Linked DNA regions of Drosophila melanogaster. The protein of the gene in region 2 binds, or shares a complex with, the protein of the main gene of each other region. Each region holds a gene or a part of one and is shown on either strand. Other genes may lie near its edges.

The links.
Region 1: Sbat (region 2) and Naa35 share a complex: the UniProt entries of both Drosophila melanogaster proteins name them as parts of the N-terminal acetyltransferase C (NatC) complex.

Annotation. Positions count from the first base shown.
Region 1 is NT_033778.4:24,127,418-24,144,983, forward strand, and holds Naa35 (N(alpha)-acetyltransferase 35), read right to left. Parts: upstream 10,634-17,566; 5' UTR 10,497-10,633; coding exon 10,444-10,496; intron 10,355-10,443; coding exon 9,982-10,354; intron 9,919-9,981; coding exon 9,351-9,918; intron 9,291-9,350; coding exon 9,109-9,290; intron 9,051-9,108; coding exon 8,013-9,050; intron 7,989-8,012; exon of another isoform or gene 7,951-7,988; coding exon 7,810-7,950; 3' UTR 7,763-7,809; downstream 1-7,762. Other genes in the region: tamo, read right to left, coding at 396-1,196, 1,263-2,531, 2,597-2,796, 2,859-2,982; Zfrp8 (zinc finger protein RP-8), read left to right, coding at 6,599-6,867, 6,925-7,009, 7,064-7,753. UniProt on the Drosophila melanogaster protein: Auxillary component of the N-terminal acetyltransferase C (NatC) complex which catalyzes acetylation of N-terminal methionine residues.
Region 2 is NT_033779.5:2,863,843-2,879,501, forward strand, and holds Sbat (sabbat), read left to right. Parts: upstream 1-14,501; 5' UTR 14,502-14,750; coding exon 14,751-15,116; 3' UTR 15,117-15,159; downstream 15,160-15,659. Other genes in the region: CG2991 (uncharacterized protein), read left to right, coding at 1,142-1,576, 1,640-1,735, 2,490-2,899, 2,972-3,388, 3,495-3,825; Ifrd1 (Interferon-related developmental regulator 1), read right to left, coding at 5,329-5,412, 5,481-5,708, 6,847-7,090, 7,162-7,846, 9,794-9,830; CG8813 (uncharacterized protein), read left to right, coding at 5,904-6,758; CG8814 (uncharacterized protein), read left to right, coding at 11,546-12,520; Prx6a (peroxiredoxin 6a), read right to left, coding at 13,346-13,547, 13,769-13,961, 14,022-14,295; RabGGTb (Rab geranylgeranyltransferase subunit beta), read left to right, coding at 15,422-15,659. UniProt on the Drosophila melanogaster protein: Auxiliary component of the N-terminal acetyltransferase C (NatC) complex which catalyzes acetylation of N-terminal methionine residues. May have an accessory function in the survival motor neuron (SMN) complex.

The DNA.
Region 1 (17,566 bases), on a different chromosome or scaffold from region 2:
TGCACACGTACAAATATATAAATGTCTATACGCTGTATATACTCGTATATATGTATATGTAGATGACTTATTCAGGGAGGCACGTAATTTGAAACAGAAGCGCCCTTAACAATGGGAAACAATCTAAAACTAATTAAAGCGTGTGTTTACGAGTAGGGGTAACTAATTAGAATACTTCGTATGTACAGACTGCAGACCCATCCCGTCTGCAGCGCCATCCGCTCATCCAAGGAGCCGAATGCGGATGACAAAGGGCTGCCTGCCATCGAACGACGACTTCGATCGAGACTAGATCTTAGAGACACGCGCACAGGCTTACATTGGTCGTATAAAAAATATATGAAGCTATACACTGTTTGTATCACTAACGAGGGTTCCGTTGCATCCACTGCATCCTACACGCAGGTCGAGGATGCGTGCGACACACTGGCCGCTGACGCCGCAGCTGCAGCCGCCGAGGAGGAAGCCGCCGATGCGGCCTCCAGGTTGAAGTCCTTGCTGCGGCAGCACATCTCGCAGATGCGCTTCGTGTCCGGATTGAGGAACGTGCAGAAGCTGCAGCTCCACTCGTTCGGACTGGTCACAATCAGCTGGGGAGACACATTCGGCGGCTGCTTGGGCACAGCTCCTGTGCGTTGCCTTGACCCGGTTCCCCGATTGTCCACGACGGCCGTCTTCAAGGCGGACTTGACCTTCTTAACGCCGGCACTGCTGCTATTGGGCAGAGGACTGGGTGCAGGAGCTTGCACCACCTTAGCCTCGCGTCGCCCCGTACCGGATTTTTTATCTAGCGTTCGCGCCTTCTCTCCGTTTGTGGGATTCGTGGCCTCACGGCGCTTCTCCGCCGGAGGAGCTGCACCGCCGTTCGTTATGGACAGCGAGCCTAGGTCCAAGCTCTGCACCAGCAAGTCCTCGCGGTCACCCAGGTCCTTTGTGTAGCCCGATCGCTCGAGGTTCTTGAATACATAGTTCCAGGACTCGAAACTGCCGACACCCTCCTGCACTTTGGGCATGAGAGGCGGCGAGCTACTACTGTCCAGGGCCACAAATCCGTCCAGACTAGCCGAGTCGTAACTGTTCAAGTCCGAAATGGTGGTGGGTATATCACGTTCAGTGCCGGACCTCTTGGCCGGTGCAGTCCGACTATTCCGCTCCTTCAATTCCTTGTGCATCTTGCGATTATTGTCCATGGTGCTCTGTTAAAAGGAGTAGGCAACGATATGTAACCATTATATAAGTATGATGATGTTGTTAGAACTTACTTGCTTTTCCGCTGATCGCGGATGTTTGTCAGTCGAATTAATGCCACCCGCCTCGGCCAAAGCCCGCATACGGCTGCTCTTCGGAACCGGCCGCGCATAGATGTACATATCCTGGCCGGTCGGCGGCGGCGCTTGCGGTAGCGTGGTGGGCAGGTCGTAGCCCCCGTAGGTGGCATACATGGCTACCGGATTCCCCCGCATGCTAGGCTGCACCTGACCTCTCAGCTCGGCATACTGCGGATCGTAGTCATGCGTCCCAAAGTCATGCTGGGTCAGATGCGCTCGCTCGTCAAAGTCGATGAGGTGGTGATCCGGCGGATAGGTGCTCTGACGGTGCTGCATAGCCGCCAAGGCAGCAGCGGCAGCAGCAGAAGTGTTCGGCTGGCGACGGTGCAAATCGCAGCTGTGGGCTGGGCCCGTCTTTCCCAGCGTGGCGTACATGTTGGTGTGCTGTCCATTGCCATAGAAGTCGGCGGGCGACGCATACGGGGCATTCAGCTGGCTGGAGATGTTGTACGGCAGCGGATAGCGGTTTCCCGGTGCATTGTAGGCTCCAGTCACGGCAGCGTAGGACGCACTGCTGCCCATGCTCAGGCCATCTAAGCAGTCATAGGGCGCCTCGTAGACGTGCGGCAGCTGGCACTGCTGTTGGAGCTGCTGATCGAAGGAGTGACGGTGAGGCAGATGGGCCTGCGGTTCCTGGTAGTGATCCAGGCTGCGAGAATGCGTCATCAGCGGACCAGGCAGGTGCGGTTGCTGCGGCGGAGGCGCTGGGTAAGGCGGCAGATACTTACCCGCCTCGTTCAGCCCATTGGGATGCAGGGCACAAGTGCCGGAACTGCTGGGATGATGGGCAACGTTGTTGCTGCGCATGCCGCAGGCAGTTGGAGCAGCACTCACCACATTGCTATATGTATTCTCCTGCATCGGTGGCTGCTCCATTCGTACCCGTTTCTCACTCAGCTGCCTGACCATCTCCTTGATGGTCGTGGAAGTTCCACCCACGTAACGCTCGCGGAACTGTAGGATGTCCTTCCAAGTGCAGACGTATCCCGCTGCCGTCACTCCCGCGTAGATGTGCTTCATAATCTGGCACTCCACGTAGGCGGCCATTGCGTCGCGCGAAACATTCGTAACCTGATCCGGACAGATGGGACCCTCGAGGACGAAGGTGTCCTCGGCAGCCCGGCGATAGCCCATGGCCAGGAAGAGCTGTTCGGCGTCCAGCAGGCGGGATTGGATGTCGTGCTGAAAGCATCCCGAATAGGTCTGCAGAAAGGAGGATTATTCAGTTAGAAGTGGCTATTTAGTATACGTCATCATCCTATATCCACCTTGAGAGTTCGATACTCCTTTCGCCATGGCTTCGTAAACAGATTGTTGGCATACTGGCTGATGGTCTCGAAGGCTACGATGGCGTTCTGGGCCGAAAAGTCGGGCAGCTCGAGCACAGACCTCCGCAGGACATGCCCAGTTTCCGGCAGAAAGAACTTGCGATCGTGCTGCACCACGCAGAGGAACTCCTTCAGGCAGCCTGTAAGCGCGGATTGATTAGTTCCATTTCCATTTAGGACAAGGACAAGGCGGCGAACTCACCCTCCAGCTGCTTGCGTTCCTCGAGCTTCTCTATGCTCTCCTCCGTCTCGAGAAACATCCAGTGGCGCCGGAGAATCTCATCCCACAGATCGGGGATGAGGTCGTGCGGCACGAAATCCGACATCTCGGGCTAAGGACTCTCATTCAAGGCGCCTCCGGCTCCTGCAAAACAAGAACACAAGGTTACACTACGGCGAACATCTCGAGAGCCCAGAGCGCGCCACCATGGCTATTGATTTTCCACCAGGGGTTGGGTGGGGATGCACTTCTCTGGCATGAATCACCAGAATCACATCCTTCCCCGCATGACGCACGCCGTCGCGGCATGCAGCAAACAAACAAATAAACAACCAACTGGGCTCGAATGGAGTAACAATAACTGGACAGATAAGAGCAAACAATAGGCTCCATTGGGGCCCGTCATCGATAGTGGCATTCCCGAGTCCTTATCAGTTTCCTCCCAGCCAGCGGAGCACCTAAGCAACCAGTACTTGCCCCTCGCGGACAAAAACAGTTGACAACAAAAAGCTCACTTGTGATTACGTCTACTGTGCTCCCCGATGCAGTGGAAGCTGATTCATTGGCTGGGAGAAAAGCTGTTTCAGGGGATTTCGTTTACAATAAATACAAATTTTTTTTTGTTAATAGAAATTACAAAGCTAAAACTATCACCATGACCAAACACTAAGTAGAGTCCATCTATGGGGTTTCAAACCAACTGGAAGCCCTTTATTATGATTGCTAGGTGGAGATCCAGGAAGACTCTGCAGCATACTTTGTTTATTTGCAAAGGCGTATCTAATCTAAGGTTTATTTTTGAAATAAAAGATAGCGAATTGTATAGAAATCAACTAAATGTGGGGCTGCTCGTAGCTTTGCTTCGGTGAGTCATAAGGTCAGAAATGCTAATCATGTACAATTTCCAGGCTTACCTAATATACGCGAAAATAAGTAGAGTAAATAAAGTGAGCGCAATAATGGAGCTCACTTGTTGTGATGATAATAGATAACCGGAAAGCAAGCTCCAGCCCTTTACTATCTATGAGCTTTACCTGGCAAATACTACTCCCAACTGGGTATCATCTGCTCGCTGACCCGAAGGAAAGCCCACAAGTGCTCGATAGGAACCCAGAAGCCTCGCGATTGCATCGCTTGCCCTTATCTCCCCCCTCGCCAGCCGGAGAACCGAGCCACTTGACTGGCTAACTCGATATTGATATCGGCTATCGTGGAGCCAGAGATCGTCCATTGGCCTTTGGCATTCGATACTGAGAACACCGGAGAGGCACTACGCTGAGCAACCTTGGGGAGTGACTCACTTGGCGTTCGGCGCTCCAATCAGAATGCGAATGAGCAGCAAGGCGGGCGTGGATAAACAAGTGTAGTGCAACTGAGCAAACGGCGAAGTGGTGACAAGAGGAGTCGAATAAACGCGGTGTGCGGAGAGAACAACATTGGCAGTGATAAGCGTATAATTATCAAATATATCAAAACAAACTTATGCAAGCCACATAAACTGACTTCCCTTCTCATCCTCTATAATTTATTTACTTATGCAATAATTTCGACGCTACACATACTGACAATTTCCTATTTAGTTGCTTGGGTTCAAGTCGTACATAAGCATATGTACATATGTACGTACATACATACTACTAGTTAACAACAATATTGAAATGGGAATTTAAACAGTCAGTCGAAGGAACGCACTGTCAACCGATTAATGAGCTGAGCATTACATGTATGATGTCCTGTAATAATGAATCAATTGAATATGCATGCAACTGATAGCTTTCCCAGTCCAGTGAATTTTAATTAATGTTTTCCAGCGCCGAAACAGCACACATTGTTGGTGGGAATGGGAATGTGAAGTGGGGGAAATGGGAAAGCGGGCCGAAGAAAGTGGAGCTTTCGTGGGAACCCATAAATTCAGCGGCCAAATGAAGCAAGATGATTGCAGGGCGGATTAAAATCAATAGCCAGCATGCAGGTGGAGCAAGTGGAGTGGGCCGAATGGCAATGAAGTTACTTATTTACTATGAGTACCACAGGCACATTCGCACTCAGGTGGTGATAAATTCATAGCATTTCGGCTGCCCGTCCGTCTGCTAATTGAATTTTCAATATTTATTGCCTGGCCAGGACACATAGCGTACATACCACTACCGAATGCCTGCAGCCGAGTGAAAATGCCCCTCGATGGGCAGAGAATTTATGTGCTGACATTACAATGGACGCAATATGGCAGGGATTTGAGGCGTTTATTGATTCAGGCAGCACTCCAAGTCGAAGTCGGCATCGAAGGCATCGATTGGCCAGGACGAGGATGGGCCATGCAACAGTTTCGGGCCATGTGCCCTGGACAAAGATCCACCGAACCACACACTGGCCGTCAGGGGCGATTATGCATATACATATACATATATATGAGTCTGCCTACCGGCAACCGATGGCAGGGTGCTCCCATTCTTATTTTCAGCAATGCGGCACTAAATTTAGCAAATAAAAGCTCACCCGGCTCGTTCTTTGGCAGCCAGAAAGCGAGCCACTGCCAGGGGCATCGAAGCGGAGATACCCTGTACCGGACACCTAATAGTTCCTACACAAACTTTTCTCTATGTGCACTCCATCAAACATCTGGTGCCTTCTTGTTCACTAGCTCGCAGCAGCGCACGTGATACCCTGTAATTCGAAACCAGGAAGCATCCGCCTTGGACTTACGCAAATTCCCAGTGGTCCGCTGGTGGCTCGGCTCTCATTTTTGCATTTTTCTTCGGAAAAGTCCGCGCGCTGGAAAAGTCAACACAAGTTCACCTCTCCAAATTCGTGCGTGGGTGTGGGCGGAAGGTGGTGGTAGGTGGATGGTGGGCGGGAGTGGGTGGTTGGCGATTCGAGAGGGGGCGGTGCGTGGGTGGGTTTATTTTTAGCGCTGCTGCGACGGAAACGCGACAAGTCGGAGATTCTGCTTCCGCAATGTTGTTGTTTTTGCAGCCGTTATTATTAACAAATATTACGCTATCCACGGGCTCTTCTTCTTGCTTGTTTGCGTTGACAAATCTCGTTGCGCTTTCACAATCACATCAAATCGTGGGAAAACTGGTTTTCCCCCCGTTTCTGAGCGGTTCACTCTTCGGTTCGTGATCGTTTGTGTCCGCGGGCAATGGAAAGTCTTTGTTTTTCACACGCGTTTATCACAACAGTAAATAAAATATCACTTTAGCCAGTTTAATCAACTCGGAGAGCAGAACTTTTAACCGTGAGAAATAACCGCATACTGAAGTGGCCAAAATCTGGGAAATCGCCATGGAGGAACTCGCGGAAAATACCAAATCCATGGCATGCAAGCTTTATTATCAGTGGCGTAGAAGAGGGGCCTTATCTGATTAATCCTCGCTCTATAATTTTGAACCGCTTGCCATTTTTAAGGGCTCAGGATAATGAGATTTGTTATTCTTCCAGATTAATGTCATTAAATTAAAATCTTATGTTTCCCCCTTATGTTTATAAGAGTAATCGCAAATATTCAATGAAGAAAAGAATATTTTATTTTATTGAACTGCCGAAATCAACAAATTAAACGAATGTAATTAATTTAAATTTTAAATTATAACACCCAAAAAGTGTGATTCCCCGAAAATATCAGTTATTATACAACGTTATTTCGGAATTTGTAGAGGTATTTTCTGGCGCTCCCGCTGCGGTCACACTGAACACGAGTTTCGTTTCGGAGATTGAAAGAAATGGAGATTGACTTGGGATTTGCGGAAAAGAGCGACAATGGCGCCTGGCTGAGCAACCGCTACTTTCCCAGCAAGCTGGGAGGCCAGCCCGCATGGCTGGAACTGGAGGCCTTGCCGCCCACGTCGCAGCTGCAGTGCAGCAAGTGCAGGGCACCCAAATCCTTCCTGGCTCAGCTATACGCTCCCTTCGAAGACGAGTACAACTTTCATCGGTCCATCTATGTGTTCCTGTGCCGGAATTCCGACTGCCAGGAGGCCCAAAATGCAAGGTAATCCCTTCTAGCTCTGAAAACCAACTTGCAACCTAATCTTACCCATCTTTCCAGCAATTTCACAGTCCTCAGGTCACAGTTGCCGCGAAAAAATAAGTTCTTTTCGGAGGAGGAGCCGAGCGACGTGGGTCAACCCCTGGTAGGAACAGCAGCCATATTTTCAGAACATACTCATCATAATATGTTTTCTTAGCCCGCCGTTCCCTGCCTAAAGAAACTATGCGCCGCCTGCGGTTGCCATGCTCCTCACGCCTGCAGCAAATGCAAGGCAATCCACTACTGCTCACCAGAGCATCAAAGGGCCCACTGGCCACAACACAAGCCAAACTGCGGAGCACCAGAAGTAGCCACTGAGAAGCCCTTAACACAAATCGTTTTCCCAGAATTTGAGATTGTAATGGACAGCAACCCCGTGGAGTCTGGCGAGGAGGACAAGGACGATGAGGCTCGCTTGGCGGAGTTCCAGGAGCTGGAGTCCAGCGGGAAGACGGGCGACTTGAGCAATGTTTCCGAGGCGGAGATGGACAAGTACTTCGGAAACTCGGCGGCCGCCGATGACAAGACCTTTCGTCAGTTCAAAAAGCAAACAGCAGCCGAACCCGATCAGATCGTGCGCTACAAACGTGGAGGCCAGCCCCTCTGGATCACGAATACCGTCAAAACGGTGGAGGACCAACTTAACAAGCTGCCCAATTGCATTGCTTGCGGAGGAGAGCGTCAGTTCGAATTTCAGATTATGCCGCAAGCGCTGACTCTTCTGGAGGACGAAAACCTCGACTGGGGCGTCCTGGCCGTCTACACTTGCGCCAAAAGCTGCCCCATCGACGGCTACGTGGAGGAGCTTCTCATCAAGCAGGACATTGTGGCGGAGGATCAGAGTTGACATTAAAATGCGTACATTTAAATTTTATTCTTGTCAATTACGAAACACGTGAACATTTACTTCAGCTTGATGATGGGGAAGTAGCTGTGTTTGGAGAAGTCGAACTCTGGCTGCCGCTTGACTTCCTTCTGGTGACCGCGAGCCAGCACATTCATCACCACAAAGTTAGTCCGTGCGATTTGCAGGAGGTCCAGCATCTGAAATTAAACGAAACGCATTTTAATCCAGGAAAACCAATTCAGAACTACCATTGACTTACCTCCTGATCTGGGTTTTGAATGCTTTCGAGAACATTGCGGGCCTGGTCAAAGTGCTTGGCCGCATAGGTATATAGATCCTCGACGCTATGTCGCATCATGTGCTCCCGGACGTTTTTGAACTCTGCGTACGAAACTGGCGGAGGACTGGTGAGTGTGGCGAAGGGCAGGAAGCGTCGGTTGTAGCGGATCTCCTCGTTGTCGAACTTGGACAGCGGCAGTCGCACGCGTCCGTCTTTGGTCAGGGCGCCCATTGCTTTATACATTCCGCCGCAGAGGCTGAGTAGCGCGTGGTAGAAGACGATCTCGGCGCGGTACGGCCTTTGAGTCTTTTTGTTCTTTTTCGGCTTGGCCGCCTTGCGGTTTTTAGCCGCTCCGCTGCCGCCCGACTGGGTCTTACTTTGGTGCTCGGCGTACTCCTCCTGGGCCAGGAGGATGTTCTCCGTGCGCGTCAGCGCGGAGACCAGGAAGCCAATGAGGAACTCGTATGGATACCAGTAGATGTAGAGGAACTCATGCACAGCATATAGTTCCAGCTCAAAGCCGGACATCAGGAAGATCAGCATCGCACGGAAACAGTTGTACAGCACCCATGTGGAGAAGTGGGTGCTGTGCTTCAGAGCGGTGGCCATGGGCTCGTTGCCCTCCATGGCTCGTTCGTTGGCCAGTTGGTTCATCATAGAGTCCAATCGCGCTGCATCCACTTGGATGGTGTCGAAGTTCTCTATCAGACGCGCCAGCTTATCCCGCTGTCTGGCGCGATTGAAGCCGCAGATGCGAATGAACTGCGTGAAGGTGTTCATGTTAATGCAGTAACGGAAGAAGTTCTCCAGGTGCTGCTGCACCTTGGGATCGGCAGCCACCGGATGCTTGGCATTCAATACGGGTGGCGAGTTGAAGACCTGAACCGAGTGGCGCAGGAACTGCTTCATGGGAAGCTTTCCGTGCGCCATACGCATGTTGGCGCTGAACAGGGTTTGCAGCACGCTTCTGGACAGGATGCACTGGCCCGACTTTTTGCTGTACTCGATAAAGAAGTTCTGGAAAGCCAGGATGTTATTACAATTTATTTTAGAAGTCACTTAAAAAGTCACTTACCAGCGCCGAATAGTAATCCTTGTACTTGGTGACTTTGCAGGCGTATTTGAAGCGCGAAATCATTTCCTCTAGAAACTGATAACTGGATGGACGATCCCTGATCTTAATGCTACGCGGAAACGCGGGCGGTTGGCTGCGGTCGTGGATGCGCGGAGAGAAACCCATGGGATTGGGAGCGTCAGCTAGTGATTTAGAAGGAAATACTCAGCATTTACATTGGCAAGTTATCTGTGACCACTTACACCCCTTCTCTGGTTGTGTGCCCCGATCCAAAGTGTTCCTTATTCCTGGAAGCATCTCGGAGGCCACAAGCAGGATTTTGTATATGTCTACCTTGTCATCGACGGTATCATTGCTGGCCATTTGCTCCACGTGGTAGATCACCTGGAAAAGATGGCGCATGAAACGCAGCCGGTGAACCACGGCCATCCAGTCCTCCGTGGAAGTCAGCTTTTTGCACTTGCGTATGAGCTCATCCTCCACATCCTTTAGCGAGCTATAAACAGTGGCTGGCTGTGCCTTCTCTGCAGCCAGAAGAGCAGAATTTCCGTACAGCTGGAAGTCCTCCTCCTCGTTGACAGCTGCCACGGCAATAATTTTCTTGATGACCACGATGAGATTGCGCACGGCAGTGCAGAAGACGCGCAGCGCCTTATCCTTGATCTGTGCGGGAGCGTGCAGGTAGAGGCAGGTGAATAGAACCTGGTCCATGGAGTTGCCCTCCAGCCAGGACACCAGGCAGGAAAACAGAGCATCATAGATGCCAATCAGTTCGGAGGGCGTGAGATCGTCCAGTTTGATGGCGCCCGTCTGGAAAGAGTCATCTATTAAGATACATATAGCTTAGCCAGGGGTCAGAAAGACAAATCTCACGGCAATGGCTGCCTCGAAAGAGGGCGGCGGAAGATCCTGCTTGTCGAAGCCCATGCCCACGTCCATCTTGGGGTCCATGATCTCGATGGCTGACATGGCCTCAAAAAGACCGAACAGCATATCCTGGGCCAGTTCCCCGGGCTGCAGCTCCGCGCAGGCATCGTGGAACTCCTTGGTTACGTCCACCCAGCCGTGCATCGGGTACTGGGTGATGTCCTCCGCAGCACTGCCGCTCCGCATGGTGCGCTGCACATCCGGATCCAGAAATCCGCACTCGCCCACGCTCCACTCGTCCTGTTCCAAGCTACTGGCCCGGGCAGCTGCCGCCGCGGCCGCCGTGGCAGCCTGGAAGTCCGGAGGCTCTGCAACGCTGCTGTGGATATGCGTATGTATGTGCATTTAGATGGTTATGCTCTGTATGTAGGCACGTCTGTGGGTTCTTGCCGGTGGTCTGTTGCTCACCTTCCGTTCATGGTGCTCGGATCTGCCTCCGCCGGCAAGGTCGAGGGATACATCTTTTGTACCTATATTCAACAGGCGGTCAACCTGTAGCTCGATGTGTTACAAATTTTCTTTTATTTATAAAAGATATTTTTAATGAATTAAAATATGTAACGTCCAGTGTGACCAAGTGACGAACGGTCAGCCATGCCTCTATGTTGCAAATATACCTCTTGGTACCAAACAAGTCATAATTTTCTATTTCTAAGTTCATTTTTGATTTTGCGGAGATAATCAATGGCTATATGATTATTAGAAATCTATAGAACAGTTCATTAATTTAAAGAAGAGTAGTTCATTGATACAGTCTTAAATAGGTATAAGCATAAATGCCTTCAGTATTTTTCAGCCCGCCAACATCCAACTTGGCAGCACTGGCGAAGTTAACAGTGTACTGTTTTAATTTGGGATGTTTTGAAAGCATTTAAAAGAAAGTCAGCAAAGATTTATGTGGTGCTTTTATGTTTTCCCATGATTTCAGCTTAGAATTTCTGTAAGTTACCCATAAAACAAGTGAGTTAGCATTCAAAATGTGGAACTTGGAGCCTTGGTGGCTTTTAAGCTGCACTGTTAAGCTTAACAGCCACGACCGTTACAACTGTTACCAAGTTCAAATGCTGAGTCAGGTGAAAATTGAAGTAAACAAGCAAAGCTTAGTTCATTGGACTGCGGCTGGCCCATTAACTAAACAAAATGACTGAAAGTGCAAGCCAGCGTTATCTGAGACCCAGACGACCGCCTAGACCGAACAGAACAGTTCCGCGGTTCAAAAAACACGGATCAAAGCACGAGCTCTCTTTAGTCTCACTTAATTATGTTTGCTCCGATTTGACTAAAGCAAATAAAGTATGCCTTGAACCGAGGCATTCTACAACCTTATCAGACGCGTTTGTTCCCGCTGTTATCGGAAACGGAAAAGCTCGCTTGCGCTTTCACTCCGCGGTTTCACTCCGGATTTCGAGCAACGCGGCGCAACGCCCGCCCCACGGATTTTGGGGTTGACCGCCACCCCGAGTGTTACAAGTATCCAAGTTGCGAGTGGGAGCTGAGCCCGAGGGGTTGGATTGGTTTGTTTACCACGGAGGCCCCACTTTCACTCGCTCGCTCTCCCCAAATCACAATCTTTCTCTGCCTCGGCTCCCAAATCTCTCTTGCTAGTGGCGATTTACTCAAATCAGAACGCTCATTTAAACGGAAGGTTACAATGTTCCCATAAACAGTGGATTCTTCTTATCAATACATTCATTTATGTATTTATTAAAACTTTTAGATGGAATATAAGTTTAAATATTTTAAGACTTTTAAGATATTTTGAATATGTTATTTGATTTCTTTAAAAGTGGTAATTTCGTGATTTATTTAAAAATAATTACATTGCTTGCCAAGAAAGCGCCTGGAGTTATGCAACATATTTGATTGTGTTAAAAATGTTATCCCCTTAGTATATTAATTTATATAACTTATTCGAATGCGATTCCCTTAAATCCCCACTTAAATCCACTGATTACTTCCTCCGCTGACATTGAGTAGTCTGCAGAGAGAACTTGGTAGCCCGAGGAGGAAACCCACTCAATGAATGAGCAGAACGCAGAACGGATGGGCAGAGAGATTGGGATTGGAAGCGACTGAGTTTTTGAGTTCGACCGGCGAACTATTTAAGCAACGCTCATTTGCTCATTGCATTTCAATGTGTTATCGTTGGCCATTAAAAAATAACACGAAAACGTTGGTCCCAAATCGCGAGAAGAATTCCACCTCCCTAGCATTCGAGTACATATAAGATTCTCAAGCCTGCAAAAGCTGGGCATCATCATTTCAAAAACGTGCTAACGGTTCACTTGGTCGGTCGAATCGGAACGAATCGGGCGAAAGTCTCCAACACAAATTCCGAAATTTAACGCTTCGTGGTATCCAAATCGAAGGAGGCGGCGCATTAGGCCCACTTATTAGCCAATTTCACGCGTAAGTTGCCGACAAAAATACATTTTTATTTTAGAATCCAGCTGTGACATTTACGCCGCCGCCAAATGTTTTCCATTTCAAGTTCGCCGAGAATAAAATACGAAACACTCACTATAAACTATATCTGAATTCATATGTATAGATGTCGGACATCGGAACGTAGTGTTTCCCAAACGGCACACACGTCCTAATTAAATGCGAACAGCGAAAACTTAAATTTTTTGGCAGGCGACCAAATCAAATAGTTTAAATGAAAACACAGATGTGTTGACGCTGGCAAAAAGCGACATGTGGGTACCTCACATATTTGTTAATGAAAAAGTGGACGGATTAGTGCTAGAAATGAGCCATAACAAGTGCTGAGCATAAATTGTAGCATGCCAAAGACAACTTAGCTCAGCTTAATTACCCCACCGACCGACTGGGGTGATTCTATGCCTGACAAGGCATACATATTGTTTGAAGTGCTGGCCCTCCAGATAAGATAGCGTTCCTTATCAGCGGCGAAGAAAAAGACCATCCTTCTTATCAATCGAACAAAACTTTCCAGCATTTCGTGCTGGCAATTGCGCCGGCAGAAGTGGAGTGTTGGCCACATCGATCCGGGAACTTGTTTGTGGCTCAACCCGTTGTCAAGGCAAAATCGTGGGGCGGCTTTAAGTCTTCGACCCCCAAGGGGCAGTCCACCGCAGGGCGTGACAATTGACCAAATTTAATCGTGGCCCACACGCACGACTGAGCTGCCAATAACAAGCAGACAAATAAATGAAATACCAGCAAACGGCACACGGGCAATGAAAATCTCGGTCCCTGTGCCGCGGGAAAAGCAAATATGTGAGAAGCAACTGCTTTCCACGTCCACCAAATCACACACTCGCACACACACACACACACACAGGACTGCGAGCCATGTGTATCCTATTTATTTCAATTGATTTGGGGGCAACGTGGCGTATGAGCAACGCCGCAGGCAGGCAATGGAGGAAAAAGCAGAAATTCCCAGCATCAGGCAGCAGGAGGAGTCCTGCTGTACTCCTCGTCGCCCTCGAACTCTCGACTTTTATACAGCATTTTTTATCGATTTGATTGGATTTCATTCCATTCGATGCCCCTGCCGCACGGTTTTGTGGCTTTTCAATGCGCTCCAATAAAGCTGACTGGCCGACCGGCACGCCTGACTTAATTGGATTTAATTACAGAGTGGCCTTGATGGCTCCAACTAGTCTCTAGTAAGATGGTTTGGATAAATCCAATTAATACTAAAAATGCACCTTATATCTACATGGCACAGCACACAAGACCGAAGGATCTTATCCTTAAAGTCGAAGCTAGCGAGGCTGCACTGTAGCTGACCCGCCGAGGCAAACAAGCAATGAGTAAAATGCGGAAAACTCTGTATTTGATACAATAGATTTCCCTGACCCAACTGGATGCAAGAGGTGAAAAAGTTTTGCCGTTTTTCCCCTATTTTCCGATTTGCCCCGCTAAATTATGGAGGGTCATTTCTCATTCAATTAAATAAATGAAACTCCATGAATATTCCAGGTCCAGGACCATTCAGGGAGTTCATTAAGTCCGTAAGCCCACGGAAAAGCCTTTGTCAATTAGTCAAAGCGATTCAAGAGCCAACCAATTAGGCTAAAAGGTTTGTTGCCTCTTCCAGCGCCGTTGATGCCCCAAATCAGCACAGCGACGGCCCATGCCCCCAGATTCGCTTTAAAGGACCCTCAGCCAAACAATAACAATGAAAACACATCAAAATCAATCTGTCAACAAAAGTCGAGCAAAGTGCTGACTACACAGACGCCGCCCCGGGCAACTGACAAAGCGTCCTGACTACGTGCCGCACCAAAGCCCTTCCACGATGATTACGTTGTGAAGGAGCACGCCACTCCGGACTCCGCACTCCCGAGTCGCCCAAGTGTTTAAAACACCCTTCAGCCTTCAGCCCTCAGACTTCAGACCCCCTCCGCCACTCCGAATCCCATTGAGCATCCTCAGTCGAGGATGTCGTTTTATTACAAGAGGAAAGACAAACAGCAAAATGGCGCCAACATTGTCAAAGTGTCAGCTTGTTGCCGTTGCTGCTTCTGTTCCCGCTGTTGCTCCTTCACTGGGTTCTGTTGCTCCAGGCAGTCGACCGGGATGGGGAGGCTGCCTCCCCCAGCCTGCAGGATTCAGTATAATCACGATGGCTGTGGCGGTGGCAGTGGTGATGATGATGCCTGTGCACTGGTGCACGGATTTCGCTTGGCTTCCTGCCAGCAATTTGCGCTGCCGTGCGTTCTTTGTGCACTGAGCAAAAGCAGAGATGTTTATCTAAACTAATATATAGTTCTAGCTCTTTTACGAGGGTCTTCAAACTCTTGTGGGATGTGATAAGAACCTAATATAGTAACTATCTTAGCACAAGAGCTTTGCAAACACATTGTTGATAAGGAAATTAAACAGTTCAAGTACGATGTTATTTCACAATGATTAACGAAAAATCCAATGAATTGATAAGCGCACAGAGTGTGATTTACCCGTGTTTCTCAGTGTTTGTTCGGCTCGGCGCACATGGCGTATGCGCAATGTCGTTGGCGTTGCATCCGTTGCCTGGATGAAAAGAAGGAGGGCGGTAAGTGCGAGTGTTGCGAATGTATATGCGCCAGCCAGATTGGAGGATGAGGCCAAAGCTTATTGTTCACTGTTGCTTGCAACAACAGCAGATCCTTTGAATCCTTTTCGCTAGGTTTGCGCCCCAGCAGATGGCAGACATTATCCGCCGCCTGGCTGGGATTTGCATTTCAATGGTAACTAGCCCGGATTGAATTGGTCGGGATTTCAGACATCCTTTCAGCGGTGGCAGGATGCAAAATGTGAGGAAATTACCCGGGCCCGTGATGAATTTAAATGAAGTTTGCTGCTGAAATGGGCAAAATGCAATTTACAACTTAAATGGGTAATTTGCAGATGGTACTGAATCGCTTATGGAAACGAAATGCATCGCCCAAGCGACATTTCCGATGTGGAATTAAGCGAGCAATTTGCGTGGAACTCAAATGAATTCAAGTGAACTCATTCAAGCTCTCATATATGACTGGTGTGAATTGCCCGATAGTCCATTTGCATCGTTTCCGTTTCACCAGCTCAAACAATTGAGTTTGCCACTCGTGCACTTTTCGCAGATAGCAGCAGATTAGTTCTAATGTGTTTAGAATGCCGCATTAGTCTGCACAATAGATGGATTTTAGAGCTTGAAGCCAACTGATCGACTAGTTCGTACTCAGCCTCAAAAGTATACCCTTGCAACACAGCAACTTATCATTTTATAGATTTTATACATTTTTCACATGCTCAAAAAGTTCAGTGTAGAGACTACATTTATGGAAATTTGTATTTCTATATAATTAACTTCATGTAGCAATATCTTGCCAATAAAAAAATCATAAATCTTGGGTTGTTACTATGTACTATGCTTATCTATTTAGTTACAGTGTTTGTTGACAGACAATTTAGTGTAGATTTGCATATCTAAGATTTTTATTTCGAGCCAAGGAATACCTATTAATATATCTAGCTAAATTTTTCATATAACATTTTTGCTTCTTCGATCGAGCATACCCCTTTTACTTGACAACCTTTTAAATGCTCCACCCACCACTGCAGATCCGGGCAGCCAGACAAGCGGAGCTAGTGCCTCATTCGATGGCAATGGATTGGAGTGGGGGCCACGGCGGAGGAGCGGCTAATCCGATTAGGCGGCTTTTAACTCTATTAAGTTGAATCAAACTTTCAAAGCCTCTGGCCAGTGCCCCCCTCCCCCTTCGCTGTTTCCAGTCACGTTCTGCCACAAGTTGGCCAGCTCCCAGCTCCCAGCTCCACCTGTGGCCATGGGCCGAGTGTCCAAGCCCAGGCGTAGGAAATCGGTTCCGGCTTGTGGCAACTGTCGGAAAAGCTGGTGACAAAGCTGCCAGGTTTATGGTCCAATCACCAAAACTGATTCCACCGATCGATCCCACGGCGAACAATTCGAATGATTTATGGCGAATGTAAATGAAAAGTTGTGATTTATATGACAGCGGCAACTAATTGTGGGTATGTCTCGATTCCGCCGCGCAGGTGAAAAGCATTGAATGTGAGTTCTGCGAGTATTTGCATATTCAAACTACTCTTACACGTGTAAGCATTCCGAATGCATTTAATCTGTAGCAGGAGAAACTATTAATATTGATTAATTAAAAGTAAATAATTGTGTGGTGGAAGCAAGTGACTTTAGAAGAGGACGAGGACTCTACTTTGGGTATTAAGAAACCCCTTAAAAAACCCATATCTATGTATAAAGTAATGATATTCATTTAATCATATTTAATATTAAACAATCTATTAAAGTTGAGTTAATTCATTTTATTGTCACTCATGAGAGCCATCATATCTGCAACGCATGACTTTTAACATGACAATTTAATTTGATAACTCATTTATTTAACTTAAGACAGATCCCCTGGCTTGCATTGCCTAGTTAGCATATAAATTAGTAGAGGACGCCCACTATCGCGGCTATCGTATCTTAATCGACTTGGCGTGTTCCTTAAATAATTGTTAAGTAATGCCCGAGCAGTCTATTAATGCTGATAAATGACCCGTGCACTGGCACCTGGTGCGGATTTGCATGGGACCTTGATCCGATCGAGTTCAACTGATATTCAAGTGTTTCAAACTAAGCCTAGTTCTTTGCGAAAGTGACCAGTGATTGAGAGAGAGTTCAAGCATTTTGACAAACATTCAATCATTGTGATTGCAACCACAAATTGCCAACCATCTTGCTGCTCAGCTAAACGGCGTTAATGTGATTTTAATTATCCGCATGCAAACAAATCGCAACGAGGCGATGACGGCGGGCAGCTCAGCACTTTGAAGTAATCGCGCCGCAATATCACTCATTCGCACTGTGGGCCGCAGTGGGTGCCATACTTGAGTACCTACTAGGCTCCTTTGCAACACTGGTATTTCCGCTCGGAAATCAAGCTAAATCAAATCAAAGCATTCAATGTAATTACACCATCAACACTTTATGCGATTGAGCTCTATTCACTTCACTGACTGATTGAGTAATTACCCGCGACTGGCCGCGTACTTA
Region 2 (15,659 bases):
AAAAAAAAGAACACACTTGCGCTCGGTCGAAACGAGCAAATATATTTGCTGTGACGGACACAACGACCTCATAACCATTAAAAACAAATTTAGCAATTAGCTCAAAAAAGGTTTTTAAGCATCGCATTGTAATTAATATCCCAGTTAATAGGTAATAATTGTCGGTACGCCCTTTCCTACCCTTTTCTACACCTTTCCTTCCCTATGTGGCCATGTGGATCAATTGGTTTTGACCACAGCAAGAAGAGCATTTCAATTGGCTAATGTAGAACGACAGCTCAATGGAATTGCAGTTTGTGGCCTGTCCCGATGTTGGATCGGTTTTATTTACTCGTACTTCATTGTGTTATATCGTGGGTGTCAAGTTGCTGGCAGGCATTATTATCGATGCCCCAGTCTCTCGCCATTTCAGATGTCCCTGTGTGCTTTTTGATTGATAGACGGACAGAACAGACGGACGGAAGCGGAAGGTTGGGCTGTGCCGGCTTAGAATCGTTGCTGGCATAATAATGCCAAGTGCCAGCGGGCCCAGTTTACCCTCTTGAAATATTCCTCCGTGTGCCATCAGCACTCTGGGTGGCTGTCAGTTGTGTGTTTGTGGTTGGTAGGGGTTGAACCATATTCCATTAACATATTTGTTTTAAGTATAGTGTATAGCTAAGATCGAAGATAGAATCTAGGCCAGATACTATTTAATTAAATGAATCGTAGGTAGTTGAAACACGCATATGACATTTTTCAACTATCGCCTAAAGAATTCGGGTATTCTTTGTTCTTAAAGGTAGATATGTATTCCTATTGTAAGAACCATAGTTATGTTTTTCAATTTATATTTCATTTGTGCATGCTTTGTGGGCCACAGAAAGTGAACCACTCGAGTTGTAGAGAGAGTACCCCTAATGCCACCATTGCCCTGCGTCGGCTGTGCAAACATTTGCATTTGCTTTTAGAGCCAGCGAGCAGCCCGTCCAGACACCAGAATTCAATGTTTATTTAAATGACACCCTTTGGCCCCACATTTGGCGGGGAGTATCATGCTGTTAGATGTTTGTTGCTTATCTAGCCGGACTATCGATTTGCGCTGCCCTGATGTATTAATTAAGATGTACGTTCGCTCTATTTGCAGTTGATTTAGCATAGGATGCTGCCGAGCCTGGATACCTTAATGCGTTGCTCGAAGCGAGTTCTGCAATCGCCGCTGGAGGCGGCGGCCAGCCAGATGCGGAATGGGCACAGCAAGTCGGCCGCCGGGGGCATCTACGGCCCCTTTACGCCGGACAACGATCTCAGCTGCTCGGGACGGGGCGATTGCGTCAACAACACCTGCGTCTGCGACATTCGGTACGCGGGCAACGAGTGCGACATCTTCAATCTGCCCTACTACGCCGGAATCTCCACCGTCTTCTACGTGGTGGCCCTCGTCTCGGTCATCCAGCTGCTCATCTGCATCGTGGCCGAATATCAGCGGCTGAAGCAGCCCTCCGTACTCCGCGCCTGTCGCATCACCACCCAGAAACTGCTCTACTTCATGGTCTTTGTGGCGGCCTCGTTGCGAGGTGCCTACTTCACCACACCCGTGAGTAAACGCAATCCCACTTCGATCGGATCGTTTGATTTCATCAATCTCCTTGCATTTCAGCTGGATCTGCAGCCACAATGGGCTGTCACCCTGATGTCCGCCTACTATCCATTGCTCATGACCTGCGCCTCGCTAATTGTCTGCATGTGGGCCGAGGTGAGTCCACGATAAGCTAGATATTTAAGGAAGGATAAATGAGAATAGAAAATTTCGCTTAATTGTGTACTTTTGAAAATGAAATCTTAATGGTATCAATTAGGACTATGACAGTCATGAGCAAAAGATAAGGTTGTAAACAAGTAAACGTTACTATCTGCAAATATTACATAATAATATACCTCTTCAATTGCATCGAATAGCTTTTGTCCAGTAGTACTATATGTAAGCAAGACCTGCAATATTTCATTTTATTCTCATCCCTAAGCGTCTTTAACACTTAAGATACAGATAACGTTTCCGCGGTGCTACAAACTCTTATAAATTTTGGTGATAAGTTAGAACTTATAGGCAGTATTTCAAGTCACGAGTCCACCACTAACTTAAATATGGCGATTGAACGACAGCCTGACGTAGTCGTATTTGATCGCACCCGAACCCTGAGAACTTTCAGTACTGGGATGTGAATTCCATTATCGAGCAAAGTGCGTCCAATTGTACTTGCCATATTTCGTATCTAACAGATGCGCGATAACGAGTCGAGTGCAATTGTACTCGAGCCAATTTTATTGTGTTTGGCACAACTTATCTTGGGGCCTCCCGATAGGCTGACACAAGTAATTAAGCTGGGTGGCGAGTGTACATACGTATATTAGCACTTGATCTGGAATATAAATAGTAACTGCGGGCGACTTTTAGTGGTAACCAAATCGGCGTGGGTACTCATTCACATTTGCTACGTTCGCCATTGCAGATCTTTCACCTGCGCGACATCCGCTGGGAGAAGTCGCAGTTTCTGTCGAAGAGCTTCCTCGGCTTCGTGGCCTTCAACTTCTTTCTGTACAGCCTGTTTGGCATAGAGGTCTTCAACTCGCTGATCAACGCGGAGCGTCGCGACTACGCCCACATCTTCAACGGATGCTATGCAGTATTACTCCTGATCGTGGTGGTCTTCTTCCTCATCTACGGCGTGGAAGTGTTCTTTAAGCTGCGCGGCGGTTTCGTTTACGACCAGACGGGCAAGATTCTCGGTCCCAGCGAGGCAATTGTGAATGCCTCACAATTGCATCAGTCGCGATTCGGACTGCTGTTTCAGGCCGTGATGCTAATCGTGATTGTGGGCTTTCTGACTTCCGAAACTTTGGGCGACTTCTGGAAGACCAAGTGAGTAGAGGCTTTTAATTAGTTTTGCAGCTGCCAATTTGACAAAAAGCTTTTCTTTTCGCCACCACAAAGGGTTCCAGTTAACTCGCGCAACTGGCATGACATCATTTTTCGCATCGCCGAGATCGGTGTGGCTCTCTGGTTTCCCTGCTGCCTTTGGAACTCGATGGCTCCTGAACAGCTCTGGATTCTAAATCCTCGCAAGCTTCTATCCCGCCAAATTGATCCGTCGATACCCACTCTAAATGCGGAGACCAACAAGCTCTCGCCCGAAGAGGGCCAGTCGTTTTTAACCAAAAAGGATTGCTGGATCTGTTACGACTCCGACAAGCCAGAGCCCCTCATCCAGCCCTGCCGCTGCACTGGCGACGTAAGTTCGGTGCACCACGAGTGTCTCAAGCGCTGGCTGGTGGAGAGCTGCAGCAATTCGGAGGCGCAGTTGTCGTGCAAGGTCTGCGGACATCCCTACGAGATCGAAAAGTCCAAAAAGTAAGTGCCATTTGCAAATAGGGAAATGGGTCACCGCCACATAGCTATCAGTTAGACCATTTTATAACTGATGGTAAATAACTGATAACACGACACTCTATTACAGACTCGAATGGGACAAGGGCTTCACCATTCAGCATTGGTCCAAGACGGTTATATTGATCACCTTGATGTGCGTAACCGGTGCCACCGCCTGGGTGGTGATCCAAATGTACGTTGATCCGCTGGTGCGCGTGATGACAGTGGGCATCGCCGTGCTCATTGGCTATGTGTGCGTCAAGTGTTTGGGCGAGAACACCGTGGTGGCCTATCAGCGGGCCAAAGTTAGCTCAATCAACATCGTGACCAGCTCGGAGATGGAGAAGTTGCACACCATTTGCGAGGAGGTCAGCGCCAGCACCTCCGCAGAGGCGGTTCGGGCGGGAGCTGCGTCCTAAGAGGCTACCACACACATCAGCTGAACCCCCACAGACAAAACATTACTTACTTACTTACCTAGTTTAGCATGCGTTTTGCACAGGTTTTGCTCAATGCTCAATTATTAGTTTACACATCACACGCGAGGTGGGTCCTAGCACCCGCCTTTCTATCCTCAACCGTGTACATAGGTTTAAATCTCTAGCGAGTAGACAAGAAGAGTAGCGAAAAGCGTTTCGATTAACGAGTGAATTTCGTCTCTCAAATTATCATGCAGATTTCCAGAAGCAAAGTGTATTACAAGAAGCCAAATATTACGTAGAATAAGTGTAGGTCAGTATCAATTGCGAAAGCGAAACGGAAACGGAAACAGAAACGAGAACATCCTGAGATTATGATTACGAACGCGTTGCCAAGTAGCCTGAAGAGCGAATAAGCGAGAAGATAGTGCTTAGATGCGCCAGTGAGTCAGTCCCCATGCTGATTTATAGTTTATAGTTTTCTTTTATTTACACCTAAATTATGAAAGCATTTTGATTTCCTTCATTTCATTATCGGTTTCATCCATGGATGCAAACAAGAAGCAAGCAAAACACGAGTACTTGGCGAATATTAAATTAAGCAAACAAGTTTTTAATTTGTACTTGATGGAAATACGTTTCTTATTAACCTTTAAGTTTACTCCTTAAGAAACTGATTTGTATAAGCTGCGCCCATATATACATACACACGAACATATATAATATATATATATAAATTTTATTGTAGTTACTACACAAAATTTGTCAAAGCAAAGAAAAACAAAACAAAATCCACAAAAGGAAAGAATCCAACATACAATTTAAGTTACCATACAATTTTTGTGATAAAACTAACAAATAAAATACAATTTATAAAACGCAAACTGTTTTTTAAGTGTTTTCTAAAAAGGAGTCCATTGTTGTATCCCCACCAGTAAGAATGCATTTCAAGTAGTTTTCGTTTAAGCCTAAACTTTATTTTACACTTATTTACTACAAAATATATGTATTCATAGAGCCGCTTATTATGCGTATTAAAAGCCATGTCAAGTTATGAATAACTTTTTCGCAGCATTAAAGCAGACTATGTTTTCCTACGCTTGTAATTTAAAAAGATCAACAACAAAAGAGGTTAACCCAAATCGCAAAGCGTAAATGCCAGTCGTAACAATCGCAGTGTTAATTTAAATTCACAAAGAATAAGATCCAAGCTGGAGCCAGCCATGCACTTACTGATAAACAACCACTGTGCGTGCACGCAATAAATATTTCATAATATTCAAACAATGGCTCCAACATGTGGTTAATAAACTAGAGAAATTTTGTAGATTACACTGAATTATCCTAAATTTAGACTTAGTTCTTCAGCTTTGGCGACGCTTTGCCTGGTTCAAGCTAAAATTAGAAACAATTCAACTAGTAAGTCCAGAGTTGGCTAACGGGGTTTGAGATGGTTGGTTTGGGTGTCTGTGGATGGGAACGGTTGGTGGGTGAAGCACAGGTTTAAGTGACGACGGCCGATCGCTTGTCACGATTCTTTCCACGTGTTATGGAGCGTGCCTTGAATGCAGCAGCATTCACAAGGTGCTGCAAAAGCAACAAATATAAATATATTAAAATTTGAAGCGAATGTTAACACATTTCAATCAACTTACCCGCTCCAGCTTGGTCGGCTTGACCTTGGCGTTTCCATTGATGCCTGTGTTCGTGGGTCGTGGTCCCAGCTGGAAGATGTCACGGATGAACTCGTTCTCCTGCAGCTGCGAGGTCATCCCGGGACCCATGACAGTGCACATGGCCGAATACTGATGATGGATGGACCAGGAATCTAGTGTCAGCGACTCGGTACCGAAACGAATGCTAATCTCTGGGGAAATGTCCTCCTGCAACGAGATAAAAAAAACTTTAAAATCAGGCTAGGCTACGAGCAAATATTCTAATCTCATTTCGTACGATTTTGAAATGTATCACTATTAGTTTCTCTATCAGATCAAACAGACCAAATTTCTCGTTAAAAAAAAAAAAACTACTAAAAAAAATTGTTTTGGCCAATTAGTTTTGTAGATTTCGTTATCAAGATGATGCTATCAACCTATCAGCACGACTATGTCCCGCCCAGTGCCAAACGGTACGAGTTTCTAACGCGGCCCAGGGGCGCCGAGGCTCACAGTGGTCCGCAGGTCAAGGAGTGCGAATGCGTCGACGAGTCCAAGATCATGATGCCGCCGAACGCGTCTAAGGACTGTGGCGGCGTCGAGTGGACGGGCATAGCGCCAATGGGAAAGCTGGTGGATCCGCGTATCATACCCACCCAGCTGACTCAGGACCAGGTGGACAAGATGGCCTTCTCCGCGGAAACAGATTGCTTTAAGCTGCAACCCAACCGCTTTCTCAAGATCTTACGTACAGTCTACCCGGATCTGTATGAACGCCTGAAGGTCATGCCCAAGGAGGAGCTGAGCCGCAGGCTGGAGACCAACCGTATGAACACCACCTATCAGATCGATTACTGTAACATGAACGAGTACCCGGAGGGTATTTATGAGAGCCTAAAGACGGAGGACGAGTCCAAGAACGCCAACAAGCTGATGAGCGAACGTGGACCCTGCAACGAGTTCCGCTCGAACGTGATGAACGAACTGGAGCGGGAGGCGTCCGCTGGCTACGAGATGTCTAGCGACGAGTGCCAAAAGAACTACAAGCCATTCAAGACCAGCTTCTCGGACTCCTCGCAGACCATCGAATCCGGCAGCAGTTCGCACTGGAACTCCGCCCCGACCACATACCGGAAGGTGCCGACCTTCAGCGAGTACATGGACTCGATAAGCCGGAACGGCTGCGTCATCATGCGCAACAAGTTGCACGATCACTCCAAGTGCTTGGCCAAGTACTGCAAGCACGAGCTCAAGTTCACTTGCACTGACATGAAGTAATCGTCCAAAGACTAGTGCATCTCGAGTCAAATAAATAAATGTAATCCCTATTGTTTAAGCGTAGCACTCGTGCAAATCTTCAACTCACCTCCAGGTATCGCAGCACATCACGGAAGGTGGCACGCTGGGCCTTGCGATCGCGCTTGGCGCGGTACTTATGCGAATCCGTGGCCAGCTGCTTGACGGCCTCCGATAACTCAGCGATGTCATCTTCTAGGAAATCCTCTTCGTGAGCACGTCCCGACTCCAGAATTAAAGCAATGGTCTCGCCAGCGGCCATGCGGACGTCCAAATGTGTAGATTGCAAGAGACCCAAGAACTTCTTAATAGATCTGCAAAGTTTAGTTTAAACAATTATAGCAATGGGTTTGAAAGTTAAATGGAACTTGCTCTTCAAACTTACGGAAACATGTTTTGGCCAGTGGTCATCAACGAAACAAAATCCCCCGAAGGTATAAGTGTTAGTAGAAGCCCCCAGGCGTTCAAGGCCTCCGCATGGAAAGTCCCAGCTTCGGCGGTGACGGATACCGGTGTCTTGTCATCGCCACGCAAATAACTGCCTGCGAAGATGGCCTCGAAGCTCTGCATCAGGTGTACCAACTCCCCAACATCCTCGCAGCCCAGGAAGCTCAACAATCCCACAGCTGTGCAGCACTTGGCACGGGCATCGAAGCCCACGGACTTGTCCTGAACGGTGTTCAACAGGAATTGATTCATCGCCTTGGATATGCCTTCATCCCCGCCCATTTGGAGCACCAGCAGGGGCGCGAGTCGTGCGCCCCACACCTGCTCCTGGCCCTTGCCTCGACGGATGCTCTTCTCCACGAAATCCATCAGGGTCATCTTGCGGTCCTCCACGAAGTCCGGCATGTAGCGGTGCATGAGCAGTTCGCAAATCGCTTGCAGAGCCTGCACACGTGTCTGGGCCGACTTCTCGGTGGCCTGTTCCAGGGCCTTCTCGAACTTCTCCTCGAAACGCTCATTGGCCAGCTCGTCGGTGGCCTCCGAGGATGCGACTTCGGACATATGAGAGTAAACGCTCACATTGTCAAAGGACTCGTCCTCAGAATTGGAGTCATTGGTGCGGCCTGAAAAAGAAATCATTTGGGTAATTAATAAGGTTTTTTTTTGAAGTATTTTGCTATACTCAGCGAGTTTTTCAAGCATAATTCATAAATATTTATTATGCTAATGCGACCTGTGAGCCTTTTTCAACAGCTATCGTTTTGAACAATATGCTTAATTGCACATTTTAGGCATTCAACGAACCCATTGGAATGTAAGCTAAGCATTTTGCAAATGGAAACTCAGTGAATACCAATGTAATGATTATTCTATTTTCAGAACCCCATTTGTATTCCTTGTTAAATGGAGTAAAATATTGGGACCACCCTCATGCAAGTGCCCACATTTCCCTTCAGTAACTGTCAAACCAGCTGAAAAGAGGCATCAAGTTTTGCCGTCTTCGAGCAGCTTTTCATTCAATTGCTTGTGTGCTCATTTAGATGGGGAAATGTATATGTACTGAAATTAGAAATTCAATTACACGCTTTGCCACACAGCAATGACCTTCAAGAAAAACAGCTCGGGAGCCGCAAATGTTGTGCAACAAGTTTTCTATCCATCTTTCGATGTTTCACTTTGTTTGCTGGCCAACTGCGTCGAAGAAAACCCGTCGTAGAGCACAACTTTCATTGTGGCGATTTCCCAGTGCCTGTTTTCAGCTTTCTATTTGGGGCAAGGTAGTTTCCGCCTCGTTTTTTGTGTTTTTTTTTTTTTTGTTTTGCCTTTCACAAAAGCTGCGAGCAAACTACAAACACAAAAGCATGCGGTAACTGCGGGCTAGAAAAACGAATCAAAAGCAGTGGAAAACAGCTGGTTTTGCTTGAAAGTTGTTTGGATTAGATTCGGGCGAGTAAACCATCTGTGTTTTGAGAGCGACTAATGCATAACACAAAGTTGCGTAAGTTTTTAGGTCACCCATGAGGTATATACTTAGATGCGAGGAAAGTTCCCCGAAGAGCCACAACTTCCGCTTCTTTATTTTTAAATTTAATATTTGTAAATGATTGTATGATGAGCCTATAAATACCAATTCGGATATTTAACTATATAAATAGGTACAGCTTGAATAATAACTTAGCATAATAGAGCACTTAAATAGAATACATAATTTGATACGCCCTACGAAAACATACCCACTGATACCCTGCACTGAGGTATTCGGTTATAGGCGTGATTCTGATAAGCTGGCATTGAGCGTACACATATACATATACATATGTGTACGTATGTTTTTCCACGAACAAGTATATTTATATTTATATACAGTTGTGCTCAACATAGAAACAACGCAGAAACTTAAAACCTCCTCCTTTGGTGAAATGCAGCTATTTAACTTTATATTACATAATTTGGAATTTTTGTCAAAATTACTATGGTTATATTGTTATTATTGGTGGGCAAAGCTGTATAAATTTACATATGTATACGTATGTATATATATTTTCAGTGAACCGCTGATTACTTGTTGTTGCGCAGCCAGCTGAGCGCGTGAAGCTTTTGGTGCCAGCACAGCAACAAAACGAAAATAATTATTTCATTTCGAGGGTATTGACAAACAGGTTGCAGGCAGCGAAGCTTCCTTCGTTTGGAAGCCAACGAAATACACCAAACAGTGCACGGTACTCATTAGTCAGTGCATGACTAATGCAAAGGTCAAACGAAAAGCAGCTGTGAAAATTCACCTACCCTCGCCGGCTTTTGTGGGGATATACTATTAAGTCTATTGTTCAGATGTGCGATTTAATTCGTTTATTTTGTAAAAAACAAGAAAACCATGAGGTTAAGATGGTAATTAAACCCAAAATGTTGCTACTAAAGGCAAAATAACTAATTTTAAGCCTATAAAGTCAATTGTTTCAGCTGGAAGTTCACACTCGTATCCAATAGATATATTATACGCATTTGGATACGTTCAACCTCGCATTTTTTTTCTGTGCACACCCACACACTCTCTTTTCTTTGTGACTCACCTCTGCCTGCTGCTGATTTCTTGTTGCGTCGCGGCATGTTGCTGTTGTTTTTGCGTCGTTCAGGTATTTTGCTGTTTGAACTCGACGACGACGTTTTGGTTTCTATTGTTTAGCCTACTGTTTCAAACACAAGGTACGAAACACAAAAAAAACAGATGCTTTGTAGCCGAGTGTCCTTTTCCTGTTCTGGGTCCTCAAAAGGTGGAGAACAGGCGTCGAAGTCTACACAACGGCGAAAATGTCTACACTTTCGTTGCTTTGGCGGCAACTACTGAAACGCACGTGTTGGTTCCGATTTATTGATTTTGATGCTCTAGGTTAGGAAATTAAATTGCGTTCTTGAGCCGAGCTGTCAATTTTTTAATCTTTGTCTTTCTAACCCGAAACGTTGCCGATCAGGACGCACCTATGCAAAAACTTTGGTGCTTCCAATTTTTGGCAATTCTACACGACTGTCTTTGCCGTTTGCAATTGTTCAACTCCGATCGCGATTTTTGCGGCCGTATCTTATATATAGTCTGCTGATTCTGATGGCTCTGCTGCTTGGCGTTGATAATACAAAAATGTCGTACTCCCGTCGACGTTGCAGCAAATTTCATGTTTAATTGCAATGCGTTCACTTTTCTCCGCGCTGGCAGACACTCCCACTCCGCCCTCGGTTCGCAGTTATTGTGAAATCGAATCGAATGCGCTGTCTTTCGATCTCTGGTGCTTCGATTTTGCTATTTCCGATTCGGCCAGTGAAGGCGCTTCGCGGACTTTACGTTGGCAGCTTTCGGAAAGCTCTAAAAATAATGCAAATAATTAAGCACTTAATTCGATTGCTGATTTTTACGAAATGAAAAAGTGAGTGACCGTATGCGCGAACGTTGGAAAATACCATGAATAGCGGTATATTCAATGGAAGATGGAAGTCTGCGCTCATGCGATAGTTGACTTTCGATAAAGCCTATACCTATAATTATACTATACCTATACTATACCTATTATACCCTACTATACCTATATTTACCTATAATTAAATGTGGCTGGAAATAAATAAAACTAAATAATCTTACTTTATAAATTCATTGATTGGTCCTATGCTTTTCCGCAAAATACTAATTTATAATTTTATTTATGGACAATAAAAACTTCTTATTTTTGTTTAAATCGCGATATTCGCGCTCACAAAAATATCATCTCCACTCTGCACCTGTATCGATACTTTCGTTGCAGCCCTGCGCCACCCGCACACATGCACACCTACACACTCACACGTACGCGCTCAGCGATTTGCAGAGAGAGTTTTCGGGTTTTTGTTTAGTTTTATTTGATTGCAACTCGATTGGAACGACAGCGGTTGGCGCAGCACACAACAATTCCTCAGCGAGGTCGATAAGAACGGGGGCCAAACTAAGAAAAAGCTCCAGCCGACTCGATTCGATTCGAAGCTCAGAAGATTGGACTTCAGAACTCGAACTTTGGCACCACAGCAGCGCATCCACGAACGTCGCACCCAAAAATTCATGAATGCCCAGCAGCGGATTTGGACTCGGATTCGGAATCGGAATCAATAGCGAACGACAACAACAAAAGGGGGAGCCGAAAGTGGGGTTTGCAACACCGCGGATTGCACACAATAATTAGGTAATTTGTAAGCGACGTTCACCTGGACAAGGTGAACTTGGCACCGCCTCTATATGGCAGCCTTCGTACCTGTGTATCTTATCGATCGAGTGCCCTGGCTAATCGCGGGATAATCTTGCAGGTATGGCGGCGATTGAGGAGCGTTTCCAGGCGGCAGTCAATGTGATAAAGGGTCTGCCCAAAAATGGCCCCTACCAGCCCAGCACCAGCATGATGCTCAAGTTCTACGGGCTGTTCAAACAGGCCACCGAGGGTAGACCAGATGTGGACAAGAAGCCCGGCTTTTGGGACATCGTAGGCAAGGCCAAGTGGCAGGCATGGAACGATAACCGTCACTTGACCAAGGAGGAGGCGATGCAGCGCTATGTGGAGAGCCTGCAGGAGATCATTGAGACCATGTCGTTCACGGAGAATGTGCAGAACTTTGTGGGCAGCCTCGATAGTCTGGGAAACATCAGCCTGGACGAACTGGAGCTGGTCTCGCCCGGCATGAAGGAGCTGGCCGAGTCGCATCCCAACTCGCCGTTCCACTCGCGCACCAACAGTCCCCAGCACGGCTCCAGTTGTAATGGCGAACCGGAGCCGGAACCTCAGGCGACTAGCACCGCACCGCTGGCCACATCCGAAACGATTAAGGAGAATGGCCATAGTTCGCCGCCACTGACCAATGGCTATGGACCTAAGCCAACAGCAAGCTACACACAACATGACACGCACAACTTTACGAGCAACAGCAGCGTGGCCATCGTGGATCCCTCGGACGATGAGTACGACGATCCCTACGATCTCAGCCACGAGCTGACCCAGGCGATTGGCCAGAACACGGACCTGCTGCGTCAAATCCAGGCTGCTATCACACGGATGAACAGCGATGTGGGCGCAGTGCAGCAGCGCGTTCGCAGCCTGGAGCAGTCGCTCAACGAACTTCGCAGCGGCCAAAAGGCAGCGAAAGGAACGGTGGCGCAGCCACGATCACTGCCCGCCTGGTGGCCCTTCAGGAACATCTCCCCGCTCTGGTTTGCCGTCCTCATCCTGTGGCCTTTCCTGGTGAGGCGGTTCGCGCGGATGCTTCAGTCCAATCCGCAGCGCAGGCACTGACGCAGGAAAGCTATACTTGCGGAGGGCGGAACATGTGGTAGTTAAATTGTAAGTACAACGCAACTAGACAAAGGCATATGTTACCATTCCCACTTTATATTTGAGACGTATTCCCGCAGTCAAGAGAATTTAAGAGCATAGGGAACCTGTTTCGTAGCGAAAGCTTTTACATCATACATTATTTTGTACATATTTGCATTTCATTAACATATTCAAGGTAACGATCTCTATGCGAACTCAGATTGTGGAATATATCTTGTGAGTATTTGGGCAAGGGAAAGTGCTCAAGCATCCACTGTTTAAACTAATTATCAGTAACATGTGTTTCCAATTATTAGTTTAAATGAATGGTCACTATTACAAATAACTTTATACTGTTTGTGCCACCAAAATTAATCCAATGTAAACATTTTCCTTTCAGTTATCTTCGGTTACGGGCACGAGCTTGGTCTTTAGCTTTCTTCTATCCTAGAAAGCGCTTCAGTTATTGTACAGAGTTGGCCTTATTTATACCTTACTTACCCCCATGGTTATCCAGTTGCAATATCTCTACCCCCTTTTGTACACGTCTATATATGTATATTGAATGTATATTTATTTCGTACACACAAATCGCGACCTTTTTGTCACATTCCCCATCTGATTTAGTTCGTAAGTCGAATGTTTTGGCAATTTTGTCCAGCAGAAGGCGAGTTTTAGCCACCTGAAAGCGCCGATCTACTGAAAATACGGTTGTAAGCGTATACTTTATTGTGCATTATTTGTTGTTAATTATAATTTTTGTAATAAAGCAAAAAAAAAGTGAGAGCGCACGCTTGTCATCCATTAGGGCTGTGGAGTGATCCGCAGGTAACTCTTTCCGGAGGGCAGCTCAATGGTTTCGATACCATCAGGAAAGAGCTTAGGAACATCTTCGGCTTTGACGGTGGGCAAGACCATGCACTTGCCGCCCTGTTTCCAATCCGCCGGCGTCGCGACACTCTTTGTTTGGGTCAACTGGAGCGAGTCGATCACTCGAAGGATTTCACTGCAAAGGATATAGTTAAATGTAATTTGTCGGATTAATTGACCTTGAAATCGTTCCTATTTAACTTCCATTATTATATGCAAGGTTAGTACTTAGTTTTCAGCAATAATACTTCATTAAATAATTATCTGCTAATGCGATTAAGTGCACGATTGTTTGCTAAAGTGCATTACAGCATTACTTTATAGATAATGATGAATGCTAGATATTGGAATACCCACTCAAAGTTGCGCCCAGTGGTGGCAGGATACAGGATGGACAGGCGAAGCTTCTTCTTGTCGTCCACCACGAAAACGGCGCGACAGGTGAGGGGAATGCCCTCGGCATTGATCTCGTCCTTGTCCAGCATATTAAACTTGAGCGCCAGTTCCCTTTTGTCGTCCGCAATGATGGGATAGTCAAAGGAGCTCAGCTCTGCGAACAGAAACGCCAATTAGAAGCGATTCCTGTCCAGAAATCAGTGACCAAACCCACTGCCAAAGCTCTTGATGTCCTCGATCCAACCCTTGTGCGACTCCACGGTGTCGCAGGACAGTGCAATTGGCTTGACTCCACGCTTTTGGAATTCCGGAATCAATGCCGCCACCCGGGACAATTCCGTGGTGCAAACCGGCGTAAAATCCGCCGGATGGGAGAACAGAATGGCCCAGCTGTCCTGCATCCAGTCGTAGAAATCGATTCGACCCTCGCTGGTCTCAGCCGTGAAGTTTGGGAACTGATCGCCAATGTTTAAAGCCTTTCCGGACATGGTGGATATTTGAAAAAATCAAGAGACGAATTACGAGCTTTTTGGATAAATGCGAAACAAAATTTGCCGCAAAATGCAAATCAGCTGACTGGGCTAGGGTGCCCGTTACCTTTATAAGCTCAGCTCGACCAGGGATGCAAATATAAAAAGAACTAGTTTTCGTATGAAGATGTTAAAAAGAAGGCTCATTGTGTGCATTCATTTTGCAATCATTTCCTTTAAGTGTTTTAAATCTAAAGTATTTTCTTTGACACAAGCAAACGAGTGTTTCGTATATTTTCGAATTTATGAGCTCAAAAAGTGAACCAGTGAACCGAACCACTTACACGTGCTTGCATCCCTGGCCATTACTCATACACACGCACACTATATCACACATACGCGCAGTGTAAACACAAAAAAAGCTGAGAATTTCTTGCATTTATTTGTTTAAATTGAGCAAAGAGGATATAACCATGACAGAACTGAGCATCACTGGCCAGCAGGTGATGCCCCCGCCCGCATGCACACCACCGGAGCCCTTCCGCATCACAACGAACGCCCCGCACCAGATGAACGATGCCAGTTTGACGCCGGGACGCAGGAAGCTCCAGAAGTGGCTGGGTCGAGTTCTTCGGATCGTGATTACGGACGGACGCGTGCTGGTGGGATTCTTCAACTGCACGGACCGCGACGCCAACATCGTGCTGTCCATGTGCGCCGAGTACTTGGTGGAGGGCCAGGAGCCGCGCCTGCTGGGCAACGTCATGGTTCCCGGCCAGCACATAGTCTCCCTAAGCATCGACGAGCCGGATCCGCAGTCCAGCCTGCTGGTGCAATAGTGTGCATGTGTTTTGAATAAAATAAACTAGCTATTTGAAATTTAAGTACGTTTAATTTTTATTTTTGGATGGGGTTATAGTAAACCCCTCCACACTACGCCCCTGCGTCGATCAGCTGTTTGATAAGCCACTGCCGCGTTGCCAACCATCGCGCAGATGAATCAGCTGTGCTCGATTGGATTCACTGAGTTATTTGTTTGCTCGCAGCACTATTCCTGCCAATTAATAGAGTTAATCAAGCGAAACAGCGCGCCGAAGAGGATCTGCCAGCCACCCGATACTCATTCAATTGAGCCCAATCAGCGATGGACTTCACGACCTTCGTAAAGCCCTCAAATGGCGGTGGCGACAGCGGCGGTGGTGGTGATGCGGATGGCGGCGGCCAGAAGCTGCAGTTCTGGAAGCATGTGGAGTACATCGAGAACCATGGGAAGCAGGAGGACGACTACGAGTACTGCATGACCGAGTTTCTGCGCATGTCGGGCATCTATTGGGGCACCACTGCCCTGGACATTATGGGCCAGCTGGAGCGATTGGAGCGCA